Linked DNA regions of Cricetulus griseus. The protein of the gene in region 3 interacts with the protein of the main gene of each other region in a biochemical or structural test. Links are inferred from orthologs where the notes say so. Each region holds a gene or a part of one and is shown on either strand. Other genes may lie near its edges.

Region 1 (3,652 bases), on a different chromosome or scaffold from region 3:
GCATGAGCACCTGGGCATCAGCAGGGGTTCTAACGAGCACACAGGAGGGGGAGGGGAAGTCTCAGTGCACCGGGCAATTCATTAAAGGCAAAGAAAAATTGTCCTTATGTGCAACACACACACACACACACACCCACACACATCCACACAAATGCTTTCTTTTTTTCTTTAAACAATTCCTGCTTCCTCTATAAAGCTCCCTTACTGGGAACTGGGCTAGGCTAATAATTCCCTAATGCAAACTGGGAACAACCTTAAACGGTTAAAGCCTCTGGAGACAGGAAAAAAGATGTTGTTTAAAAAAGAAGTGAGGGACGAAAATAAGCATGGCAGTGTGAGCTCATGCAGCGTCTGCGAATGTGTGGCTCCGGAGAGAGGCCAGATGCTGCAGGGGTTGGGGTCCAGCTGACTGACAAAGTCCAAGGTAGCCCTGGGAACCTGACTCCCCAGAGGGGCAGGGTCTCAGCCCTCTGTTGTCCTTTGGGGACAAGGCTGTGCTTCCTGGTTTAAGGAACCTTAGGACCTGCTTAGGAGAGGTCACTATGAAAAGCCATTGTTCACAAACAGCCGTTGGGTCACCTGTCTGCTGACCCAGCTTCCAACATTTCCTCATTTACATATCCCAGGGGGCAGGTGTGTAGGGAGGGGCCGCACACTTAGTAGTCTGAATGTGTTCTTTACTCAGGCCTTTGACTCAGATTTCCCTGACCAGTGAGAATTTAGCAGTGACTAATTAGGGATTGCCGAGGACAGCTACAGGCTCCTCACTTAGGCCTCTCAATAAGGCCAGCAGTAACTACAGTGTATACTCCCAGCAAGGCTGGTCCTTAATTGACTTGGACATGCCCCAATGGAGCCTCTAAAGGAGGCAGCCATGCGTTCCCAGCAGTAGGCTGAGCCTTAAAGGGCTAGTTGGTGTCCCCATGGACCTCAGACAACCCAGGACATCAGAAAAACTCCTCCCACAAACAACCCTTGCATTGGAAGCTCAAAGCTGCTGTGAAGTTCAGGCCCCGTGGCTTTTTACAGAACATTCCCGGGAGTAACAGCATCCCCTCCCATCAGCTATTCTTGTCCCTTGATCCCATCTGACCTGCCTCTCCTGGCTGACCATGCATCTCAGCTGCTGTGTCCAGTTTGGACACAGCTTCCTGGCTAGTCCTTCCCAGCTCTGGCTTCGCTGAACCTAGCCTGGGAGATGTTAGAAGGGATTCAAGTGATCTTTGATTCTTTGTAAAGCCTCAGGACCAGGCACTGGGCCGCCCCTTTGGGACCTGTGTGTTGTGGGTTAGGGGACACACAGGGGGACACACAGATCTTGAATTGAGAACGTTGTTGGGCAAAGAAGCTCCAGGTATCCTCTGGAGAGGGGCTCCTGGACCCTTTTTCCTTCAGGTTCATGGGGGCAGGTGCATGGGTTAGCAGGAAGGAGTTTACTCAGAGGAAGTGGTACATACAAGCATACCTTCTTACACAGCTAGGTGGGTTGAGCTGAGCTTCCTATCCTGAGCCCCCTGCCACCCCATTTCCTTTTTCTCAGTGTTGGGCAGTTGGATGGGAAGAAAACAGTCAAGGCTTCATCCTTGCATCTCTGACTTCCTGCAGGGCATCTCCCTGAAGCGTGCCCTAGTGTGGAGCCAGTATCTTAGGTCCCATTTCCCCAGATGTCACCCCTCCTTATCTGCATTCAGGGAAGTGAATTCAAGCAACGGGAGGCAGGGAACCGTTATGCAGCTGTGTGAAGATTCTCTCCCAGTCCTCTGGCTTTCTTCCTTGAATCCGCAATTAATTTTTTTTCTCTTTTTCTTTTTCAGGAATGAGGAAGTTGCATCATTTGATTTCTTCTTCTTTTTTTTTTTTTTTCCCAAATAAGCCAAATGCTTGGTGGAGAAGTTGAATAAGGGCCATGAGCCCTTGGAGGGTGTTGAGACAGGGCAGGAGGCTGGCAAGGTCATGGGACACCTGCCAGGGAGAGCCACAGATGACAGGCAGGCTTCGCCTCTGGGGACATCCATCCTTTTCGCAGAGGAGCAAGGAAAGCAAGACCTAGCGCATGTGGGAAAGGTAAAGTTGGCTGCCTGTCTCGAAGTGCCTCCATCTCCCAGCCCACCTGCCTGCCTTATAGCCCCCTCTCTCCAGAGTCCCGAGCCCCTCTGTCCTGGGCAGGAGTGAGACTATCTGGTCTCCAGCCCTCCACACTGCACAATGGACCCCAAGGATGTGAAGCTGTTGCAGGTCACACAAGTCCAAGTCGTGTGGGCTCCCCGCTCCTCCTCCACGCTGGCTTTGCTGGCCCTGGAATCTGTGGAAAAATAAACTTGGGAGGTGAAATTTGATCCGATGTCTTGGTGGGGTTTGCTTGTGTGTTTTCTGGCAGGCGTTTTGGGAAGGTGGCAAAGGAGGATTTTGGTGTCATTTTTTTTCATTCTTTTTCCTCTTCTGACGTCAAACAAAGGATGAGAACCCTGCTATGGGTGCCCGGGAGCCAGGGGCAAGGCTGCTGGGGGGACGGTAGAGGGTGCTTTGCTGACTTGGAGGGTTTGGGGGGTTTTGGGGCGTTGGAGTCCGGCTGGCCTTAGGCCGGAAAAGGCTGCCCTGCTGGGTGCTGTTGCTATTGGGGACAGTGACGTGGTCAGGTTCACCAGAATCACTCTCTGTGTAGCTGTAGGCCTGGGCCCGAGAGATGCCTTTCTGCTGGCGCCGCCAAGAATTGTAATATGTGGGGTCACTGATGTAGTGGTTGACGAAGGAGTGGGCTTTCTGAGGGTTTGTGTCCACTTCATACTCACTGTCACTTCCCTAGGAAGACAGAGAATCAGGGGTGTCAGTGTCCTTGTGAGGTCAGGGCTCAAGGCACAGAACATTTCACCTCTTTCAAGCCTTGGGTCTTGAACATCTCAACCCCTCATTACCACAGCATCTCTTCATGCCCCTTCCCTCTCCCTTCGGGGAAAGCCAGGATGAGATGTCTACCATCATGTGTTATCCAGGGCAAGAAGGCCATCTTTTCCCTTTGTGGTATTAAAGCTTGGAAACTAGGGCTTCACTCATGCTAGGCAAGTGTTCTACCACTGAGCTACACCTGGCCCCCTTTCTAGTTTTTCTTTTTGAGACAGGGTTTCCCTAGGCTGACCTTGAACTAGCTATGCTGGCCTTCAATTTGTATTCATTCTTCCTGCTGAGCCTCATGATAGCTAGGATTTCAGACCCACACACTGACCCAGACAGACCTATACACTCCAATCGTAACCTTTATTCTTCCCAGTAGAAAATAAAATTCACTTAATAAGTAAACCTTTTTGTTTTGTTTTGTTTCTTGAGGCAGGGTTTCTCTGTAGCTTTTGGAGACTGCCCTGGAACTCTTGAACTCATAGTGATCTACCTGCCTCTGCCTCCCAGGTGCTGGGATTAAAGGTGTGTGCCATCACCACTGTGCTAAAGTCAACCATTTTAAAGCAAGCGATTCAGCACTGTTTAGTCTGTGACACTGTGAGCCCTTAGGTCTGTCCAGCTCCAGATATTGCACCCCAAAGTGCAACCCTGCATCTATTAAGCCCTACCTCCCTGTCCCCCTGCCCCCTAACACAACCACACATCTCTTCAGGAACACCTGTTCCAGGATCTCCATACAGGTAGGTCCACACTATATATT
Region 2 (3,652 bases), on a different chromosome or scaffold from region 3:
GAGTTGGTGCTCCGGCTAACAAACTGACCAATAGTTTATCTGCCCAGACATAGGGCTAGACTACAGTTTCCTATTGCTTCTCCCTGTCTGCATAGAACAGGTCCTGGTGATAATTTATCTCCCAGTCTTTAATCTGATACTTGGGACAACAAACAGGGGTTGCTTTGGTTGGGTCCAGACGGTGAGAGTGAAGGGTACGTTAGCTATTTTTGCCTCTGTAAAATGAAGAGACACACACACCCCAATCTGAGGGAAATGAACGATGGATGTGCGGTTTAAAAAGAGCTGGCAGCTGAATAAGTTTAAGACTGAGCGGCATCAGAGCAAGTTTCTGTTACTGATTTCAAATGAGAATTATTGTTAATAGGGATAAAGTTATTATCGGCATGAATCACAGACACTGAAACCTGTTAACTTAATAATGTTGCCAATGTGTCATTAATCTTTAGTGAGGCGATATTAATATATTGCCTAATCCAAAAAAAAAGGCTGTGGTGTCTTGAAAGCTTGAAATCATTTCTGCTTCTGCCTCAAGTTCTGCAATCCTCCCCCTTTTAAAATTTTAAATACTTTTATTTCACACAGGCCTCTGAGTATTATTCAGAAGTAATTGCCATCAATAGAGATTCATATTCACCTTTGAGTGGCCCTAATGTCAAATGGCAACCTTGTCAGCCTTAATATCAACATATTTTAAATATATGTCTTGGACCTGAAGGTCAATAATTGCTACTAAATTTAAAATATGGAATTCTGGGATGTTTTATTCCTGGTACTTTGATTGCCTTTGTGCTGGTGATTATTTTATCTGGAGGCAAAGTCTAGTCTAAACCTGTCCTGATGGAAGTTTCAACCTGGAGAAGGATGCTCTAACATTTTCTTTCAATTTCTAGCAAAGCATCACTCTATATAAGGTTGGTACCTATATAGTTTTTATTAAGATACTTAGTAAAGTGTCAGAGAGGTGTTCTGGGTAATTAGCCTTGACATCAGCCTTGAGTTAGAGCAACCATCCTGCCATATGCTAACAAGTCCAAGGTTAATTAATCATCTTTCTATCCACTGGAGCCTTAGACATTTATTTATTTTAAAGACAAGGTCTCAGTGTACAGCCCAGTATCCAGGCTAGCCTTGAACTTACTATATATCCCAGGCTGGCATTGAACCCATAGCAATTCTCCTGCTTCAGCTTCCCCAACGCAGTGCTGTTATACACATGAGTCATTACACTAGCTGCTAAGTCTCTGATGTGTGGAAATCACAGGGGCTGTGCAGACTTTCTGTGTGTTATTCTACGGGGGTAACATGAGACATTCAGAAACCAAGTTGGTGACATGGCTCAGCTGCTCTGGCGCTTGCCACTGACTGACCTTCACAGTCTGAGTGTGATCTCAGGAACCTACATGGCAACAGGTGAGAACTGAGTCCTGCACATTGTCTTTGACCCCGCCTCCCACCACCCCCAGGTCATGACAGGCATACCCCTCCCCCATCAAGTAAATGGAGATATTTGGGACTCATCTTTAAGAAGCTGTGGTGAACAATAAACAATCAATAAATACTTGAATTTTTTTCTCCAGTAAACTGGGCATTTATTTCCTTAAAATTTAGCTTATCAACTTTTTCTTACTTGCATAGTCCACTCATGTTCCTTTAAATAACACCTTGCCCATAAAAAGATAGTTCATTCAGTGTGTGTGTGTGTGTGTGTGTGTGTGTGTGTGTGTGTGTGGAGAGAGAGAGAGAGAGAGAGAGAGAGAGAGAGAGAGAGAGAGAGAGAAGTAGATGGTCACTGGATGGAAGATGAAAGGGACAGAGAGGTGTGGGAGGGGACAAAAGTAGGCAATGTGGGGTGTGACTAAAGCCAAATCTACCAAAATGTGTTGTACTTGTATCAAAATACAAAATACAGACTGTTTCACAGAAAAGACTCAAACTGAGTGTAGAGAGATACAACTTGCTGCTTCACCGTGAAGAAAAGGAGTTAGTAATGGGTGCTTTGAGTACAGAAGGTTTTAGGGCTAGCTATGGACTGCTCAGTAGTTCAGTGCTCATTACTTTCACAGGTCTAGGTGCCTCTCTAGCAATGACCATGAAAGTGAAGAAGGCTTCTGCTGTGTCTTTTTTGATGCCTGCTACTAGTTGTACAACCAGGAGTACTCTCCCAGTCTGCACAGTTCCAGTGCACTGTTTGGACCAGGGGTTAGCAAACCTTTCTGTCAGAGACCAGGTGATAACCCTGTCCACACCCACCCAGGGGTTCTTTGGCAGCTTTTCAGTCGCACACCTTTGCAAATGAGCAGCCACAGATATAACAAACCAATGGGCATGGCAAAGTTCTGATAAAACTTTATTTGTAAACATTGGAATTTAACTTCCATATAATTTTTAAGCACCACAAACTACTCTTTTGCTTTGCTTCCAGTGATGTAAAATATTAAAGCCATCATAACTTTCACTGTATACAAAAATGGGATGGCTGTAAGGATCGCTTGCCACACAGACTTGGTGGTCTGGGTTCAATCCCCAGCACCCACATGATGGTAGAAGAAGAAAACCAACTTCTGTTGTCCTCTGGCCTCTATTTGAGCACCAAGCCATGTTTGCATGTCTTCCCACACTGTGCACTTAGGCCCATGTAACAATGAAAAATACTGTAAACACAGGTCATGGACTGAGTTCAGCTTGGAGGCAGTAGTTTGCTGGGTGTATTGTTTACTGTTCTGTTGCTGGGACAAAACACTACAATCAGAAGTTACTTTAGAAAGAGAGGGTTTATTTTAACGCAGGTCTCTGGAGGGAGCACCGGTGAACAGTGGGGAGAACCTGGGAATAGTGGCAGGAGCAGGAAGCTGGCTAACCCCAGTTTCATCTACACACAGGAAACAGAGAAAGACCAGAAAATGGAGGGAGGCTGTGAACTCTCAAAAATCCGCTCCCAGTGATTTAATTCCTCCAGCAAGTCTCTGCCTCCTCAAAAACAGTCACCCACCAGTGGCAAATGTTCTAACACATGAACCTATGGTGGACTCTTCATATTGTCAGATACTTTGTCACAGCCATGAGAAAAGTGACTAATACAGGATGATAATGCACGAGGTGGTTTTGTTGTCGTTGGTGTGTGTCGGCTGTCTTCCCTACCTGCATAAGGCACATTCTGTAAACCAGCTGGAAACTGAAGAGTGGCAAAAGGGTGGAGAAGACAAGTTCTGTGTCTTCCTCTTGGAGTTCACTGTGACATCCACCGTGTTTTTGCACGGCACGGTCTGACCAACTTGCTCCATCTTGCCCAAGGTGGCAGTATGACAGGCAGTGTCTTTTCAGGGCTTTAAGCAACACACCAGCGACCGTCAGGAGGGAGCAATCTGCACAACATTGAAGACAGTGTGTGTTAGCTCAGACGTGGCTCATCAGCCCTCTCAGACATGAATCAAGACCCGACACTCCGAGGGACAAGAGGTGGTCAAAGCGGGGTAGAAGGCTTCCACGCCTGAGGGGTGGGATTCAAAGCCTGCTGACCGGGATAGCTTTGTGATGACCAGCCCAGGGTGCCTGACAGCCAGTGTAAAAAATGAAAAAAAGTAAGATCAAGGGGACACATTAGAAAAGGAATGACAAGGTACAACGGCAGAGTAGAGAATTTCAGAGTCTC
Region 3 (3,752 bases):
ACCTAGTTGCCCCTCAACTGAAGAATGGATAAAGAAAATGTACATTTATACAATGGAGTATTACTCAGGATAAGAAACAATGGCATCCTAAAATTTGCAGGCAAATGGACAGAACTAGAAAAAAAACCCTGAGTGAGGTAACCCAGACCCAGAAATACAGATATAGTATTTACATACTCATAAACAGATACCAGACATAAAGATAACCAGCCTACAACCCACAACCCCAGAGAAGCTAGAACCTTCTTCTACAGATACAGATGGAAACAGATACAGAAATCCACAACTAACCATTGGGCCAAGCTCCTGGAGTACAATGAAAGTGAGGGAAGAGTGATAATATGAACAAAGGAGTCAAGACCATGGTGGGGAAACCCACAGAATCAGCTGACCCGAGCTAGCGAAAGATCACAATCTCTGGTCTGACAAATGGGGAAGCTGCATAAGACCGAACTAGACTCCCTTAACATAGGTGACAATGGTGCAGCTGGGGCAATAAATGAGGCCACTGGCAGTGGGGCCAAGATCTAACTCTAATGTACAAAATAACTTAGTGAGGCCCATTCTATATGGAGAGGTACCTTGCTCAACCTAGACACAGAGGTTGGGGGAGGTGCCTGGATCCTCCCTCAACGAGATGATGAACAATCTCAGTAGACTTCCTAGGGGAGGCCTTACCCTTCTCCGAGGTGCAGATGGGAGGTGGTGTGGGGGAAGTGGAGGGAACAGGAGGACAGGTGGGAGGGGAAACTGGGATTGGAATGTAAAACATAAATTAAGAAATTAAAAAAGAAAGAAAAAACAAGTCAAACAAAACAATGAAGAGGCATCCGTCCTTGAACCACTGGCCTCAAACAGCAGCCTGACAAACACTAGGGAAAGAGTCCCCCCACTCAGCCCTCGCTGCTGTCCAAAGTTGGATCTCTCTTTGTACAACTGCAGAGAAAGGATCCGTGCTGAAGACAAAGGAAGAGAGAGTGACATTGCTGTGGACATTCATAGCAACTGCAAAGACTGTCGTTACCAACACAGGGCTTCTGGAAGGCTAGAGCTCAGCCCACCCTAAGCTCACCTTGGATGGTTTTCAGAGAGAAGCCGAAGCTGTTGCCCTCCTTCACCAGGTAGCAGAGCCGTGGCTGGGCGCACGTCTCCACAGCTCCGTTCATCAAAGGGCTTGGTTTCTTATCATTTGAAGCCGGTTCCTTCTGGCTTTGACCCAAGTTGTTCAAGTCTACCTGTTTTCTTACAGCCTTCTCATAGGATTTTCCATCCAGAACCAGCAGAGTCACTGAATTCCCACTCTTTCTCACCAGATCCACCACCTTTGAAGAAAGGGGAGTGTTTAAAGGATACCTTGTCCTGTTAACCTCCCCCCCACACCACCCCGCCCCCATCAACCGTAGGAGGAAGATGTTTGTCATGTGCCTGGCAGCTGACCCAACACCCATACCCTAAGCAGAGGGGTACTGGACACCTTCACCCCAACACTCCCAATATATCAGGGAGGATCAGACTGGGCCCCAGCACTGTGGGAATCCAGAAAGCCCTGACAAGGATTGGTCTTTCCCAGATACGAATGCGCTAGAGCCGTGGTCCTCAACCTATGGGTCATGACCCCTTGGTGGATTGAACGACCCAGTTTTTTCATAGAGCTCATGTGTCAGATACCCTGCATATCAAATATTTACAATTCATACAGTAGCAAAATTACAGCTATGAAGTAGCAACAAAAATAATTTTATGGTATGGGTCACCACAACACGAGAAACTGTGTTAAAGGGTCGCAGCGTTAAGGAGCTTGAGAGAGGACAACAGGGCTTCTCAGGTCTAGGGGGTGGTGGCGTGGTGTAGTGAAAGGGGAACAATGCTGAAGTGAGGCAAGGCCTACCTCTCCCATGCGGTCACCACATGACAGTTAACAAGCTAAGTCACCTACACATGGCTGCCTCATCTGTGCGGTCACACATGCCTCACAGGCTTGTGCTGAGGGCTACAGCTTACTCAGATAAAATTGTCTAGCGTGGGCAAATGGGCAATGAACGTTTGACCTGACACTACCACAGTATAGCATTTTTTAATTGATTGCTTTTATAACAGGGCATAGGCCATGGCTCATGAACAAGGACACTTGTGGAAATCAGTTCTCTCCTTCCAACATGCAGGTCCCAGGGATTGAACTCAGCTCATCAGGCTTGGTAATAAGCACCTTTGCCCACTGAGTCACATAATAGGTTTTACAGTTCTCAGTTAATCATAAGCAATTAGACTAGTCACCATAAAATGTGATAGAACCTTGCCAGTGGTAGCCAGAAGAGAACCAAGCTCCACTGATCCCCAAAATCAGAGTGGGCAGAGATGTGGAGGCTGAAGAGGTGGCTGGAAGAACCCAAGTGTCTATTCACCTGTGCATGCTCTTCCTTGTCGACAAAGACACCATTGATCCTGAGAACTCTGTCCCCATCCAGGAGTCCTGCCTTCTCCGCTGGACTCCCCTTCTCAATCACCCGGACCAGGTGGCCATCAGTGTCCTTCTCAATGCGCAGGAAGAAGCCATAGTTCTGCCCCTCTTGTTTGGACAATTTACACTCTCTGGGATTGAAGGTGGAGGCCATTTCTGTGATGAAAAACAAATGGATAAATCCACAGGCAAGGAAATCTAGTTGGACGTTGAAACCCTGAGTCTCCATACTTGCTTTTCAAACCCTCGTGTTCAAATGAGTACTTAACACAGATGCTTTAACTTCAGTAGCTCCAACCAAATTCATCCTTGTTCCTTGTCCTAAGAGGTTATGTCTAAAAACACATGGTCCAGAAAGTTTAAGACGCCATATCTATCTTCTTTTAATTACCATGCAAAATAATAGGCTTCGTTTGTGCATGTGCTGGGTTTTTATTATTGGTGGTGATGGTGGTGGTGGTGGTGTGTGTGTGTGGGTGTGTGGGTGTGTGGGTGTGTGGGTGTGTGGGTGTGTGGGTGTGTGGGTGTGTGGGTGTGTGGGTGTGTGGGTGTGTGTGTGTGTGTGTGTGTGGAAATCAGAGGTGGTGTCAGGTGTGTTTCTCAATCCTTCACCATCTTATTAATGAGACAGATTCTCTCATAGAGATCTCAAATTCACAGATCTGATAAAGTAGCTGGCAAGCAGGTCCAGCAGTCCTCCATCTCTGCCTCTCCAGCATGAGGACTGCAGACACACACCACTATCTCCAGCCTTTTACAGGGTTTATGGGGATCCAAACTCCTGTCCTCCAAGCTTGCACAGTAAATACTGTCTTCCTGGCCCCCAGGAGTTTCATTGAGACATTCTCACACATGTGCTCTGGCTGTACCCACCTCCAAGAAGCACACTTTCACTCAAATATCTGATGAGCCTTTCTGATTCTAGATGTTGAGGATAAACCTGAGAATAAGAGGAGCTAATCACTAGGAAGATATCTTTTTCATAATTACATTTTTAAAACAAAATGTGATATGCCGTGCTGTGGAAGAACTGGGAGACATAGGATGACACAATGAGGTCTTTGGAAAGAAGGGATGGGCTGGGGAGAAATAAGACTAGCTCCCTGGAGAAATGACTTTCCAAGAAGTACAGGGCTAGTGGAGTCAGGTGAGGCAGGACAGGGCAAGGCAGGCTTCGAACAACTGGAGGGAGGGAAGGAGGGAGGGAGGGAGGGAGGGACAAAGCTAGCCCTCAGAGCTAGCTCGTGTATTGGTAATGCAATGAAAAGACAGGGGCACCCCTGGCTTGTGCAAG

Evidence for each region.
Region 1: the proteins of Pdzk1 (region 3) and Sdk2 interact in a test that uses a peptide from one of them, tested with the Homo sapiens proteins (2 studies listed by IntAct, with this or other methods). The link is inferred for Cricetulus griseus from reciprocal best matches to the Homo sapiens genes PDZK1 and SDK2.
Region 2: the proteins of Pdzk1 (region 3) and Slc15a5 interact in a test that uses a peptide from one of them, tested with the Homo sapiens proteins (2 studies listed by IntAct, with this or other methods). The link is inferred for Cricetulus griseus from reciprocal best matches to the Homo sapiens genes PDZK1 and SLC15A5.

Annotation. Positions count from the first base shown.
Region 1 is NC_048600.1:126,489,774-126,493,425, forward strand, and holds part of Sdk2 (protein sidekick-2), read right to left. Parts: intron 2,800-3,652; coding exon 2,446-2,799; 3' UTR 1-2,445.
Region 2 is NC_048601.1:10,992,028-10,995,679, reverse strand, and holds part of Slc15a5 (solute carrier family 15 member 5), read right to left. Parts: intron 3,366-3,652; coding exon 3,142-3,365; intron 1-3,141. UniProt on the Homo sapiens protein: Proton oligopeptide cotransporter.
Region 3 is NW_023276806.1:59,644,590-59,648,341, forward strand, and holds the start of Pdzk1 (Na(+)/H(+) exchange regulatory cofactor NHE-RF3), read right to left. Parts: upstream 2,613-3,752; coding exon 2,403-2,612; intron 1,323-2,402; coding exon 1,073-1,322; intron 1-1,072. UniProt on the Homo sapiens protein: A scaffold protein that connects plasma membrane proteins and regulatory components, regulating their surface expression in epithelial cells apical domains.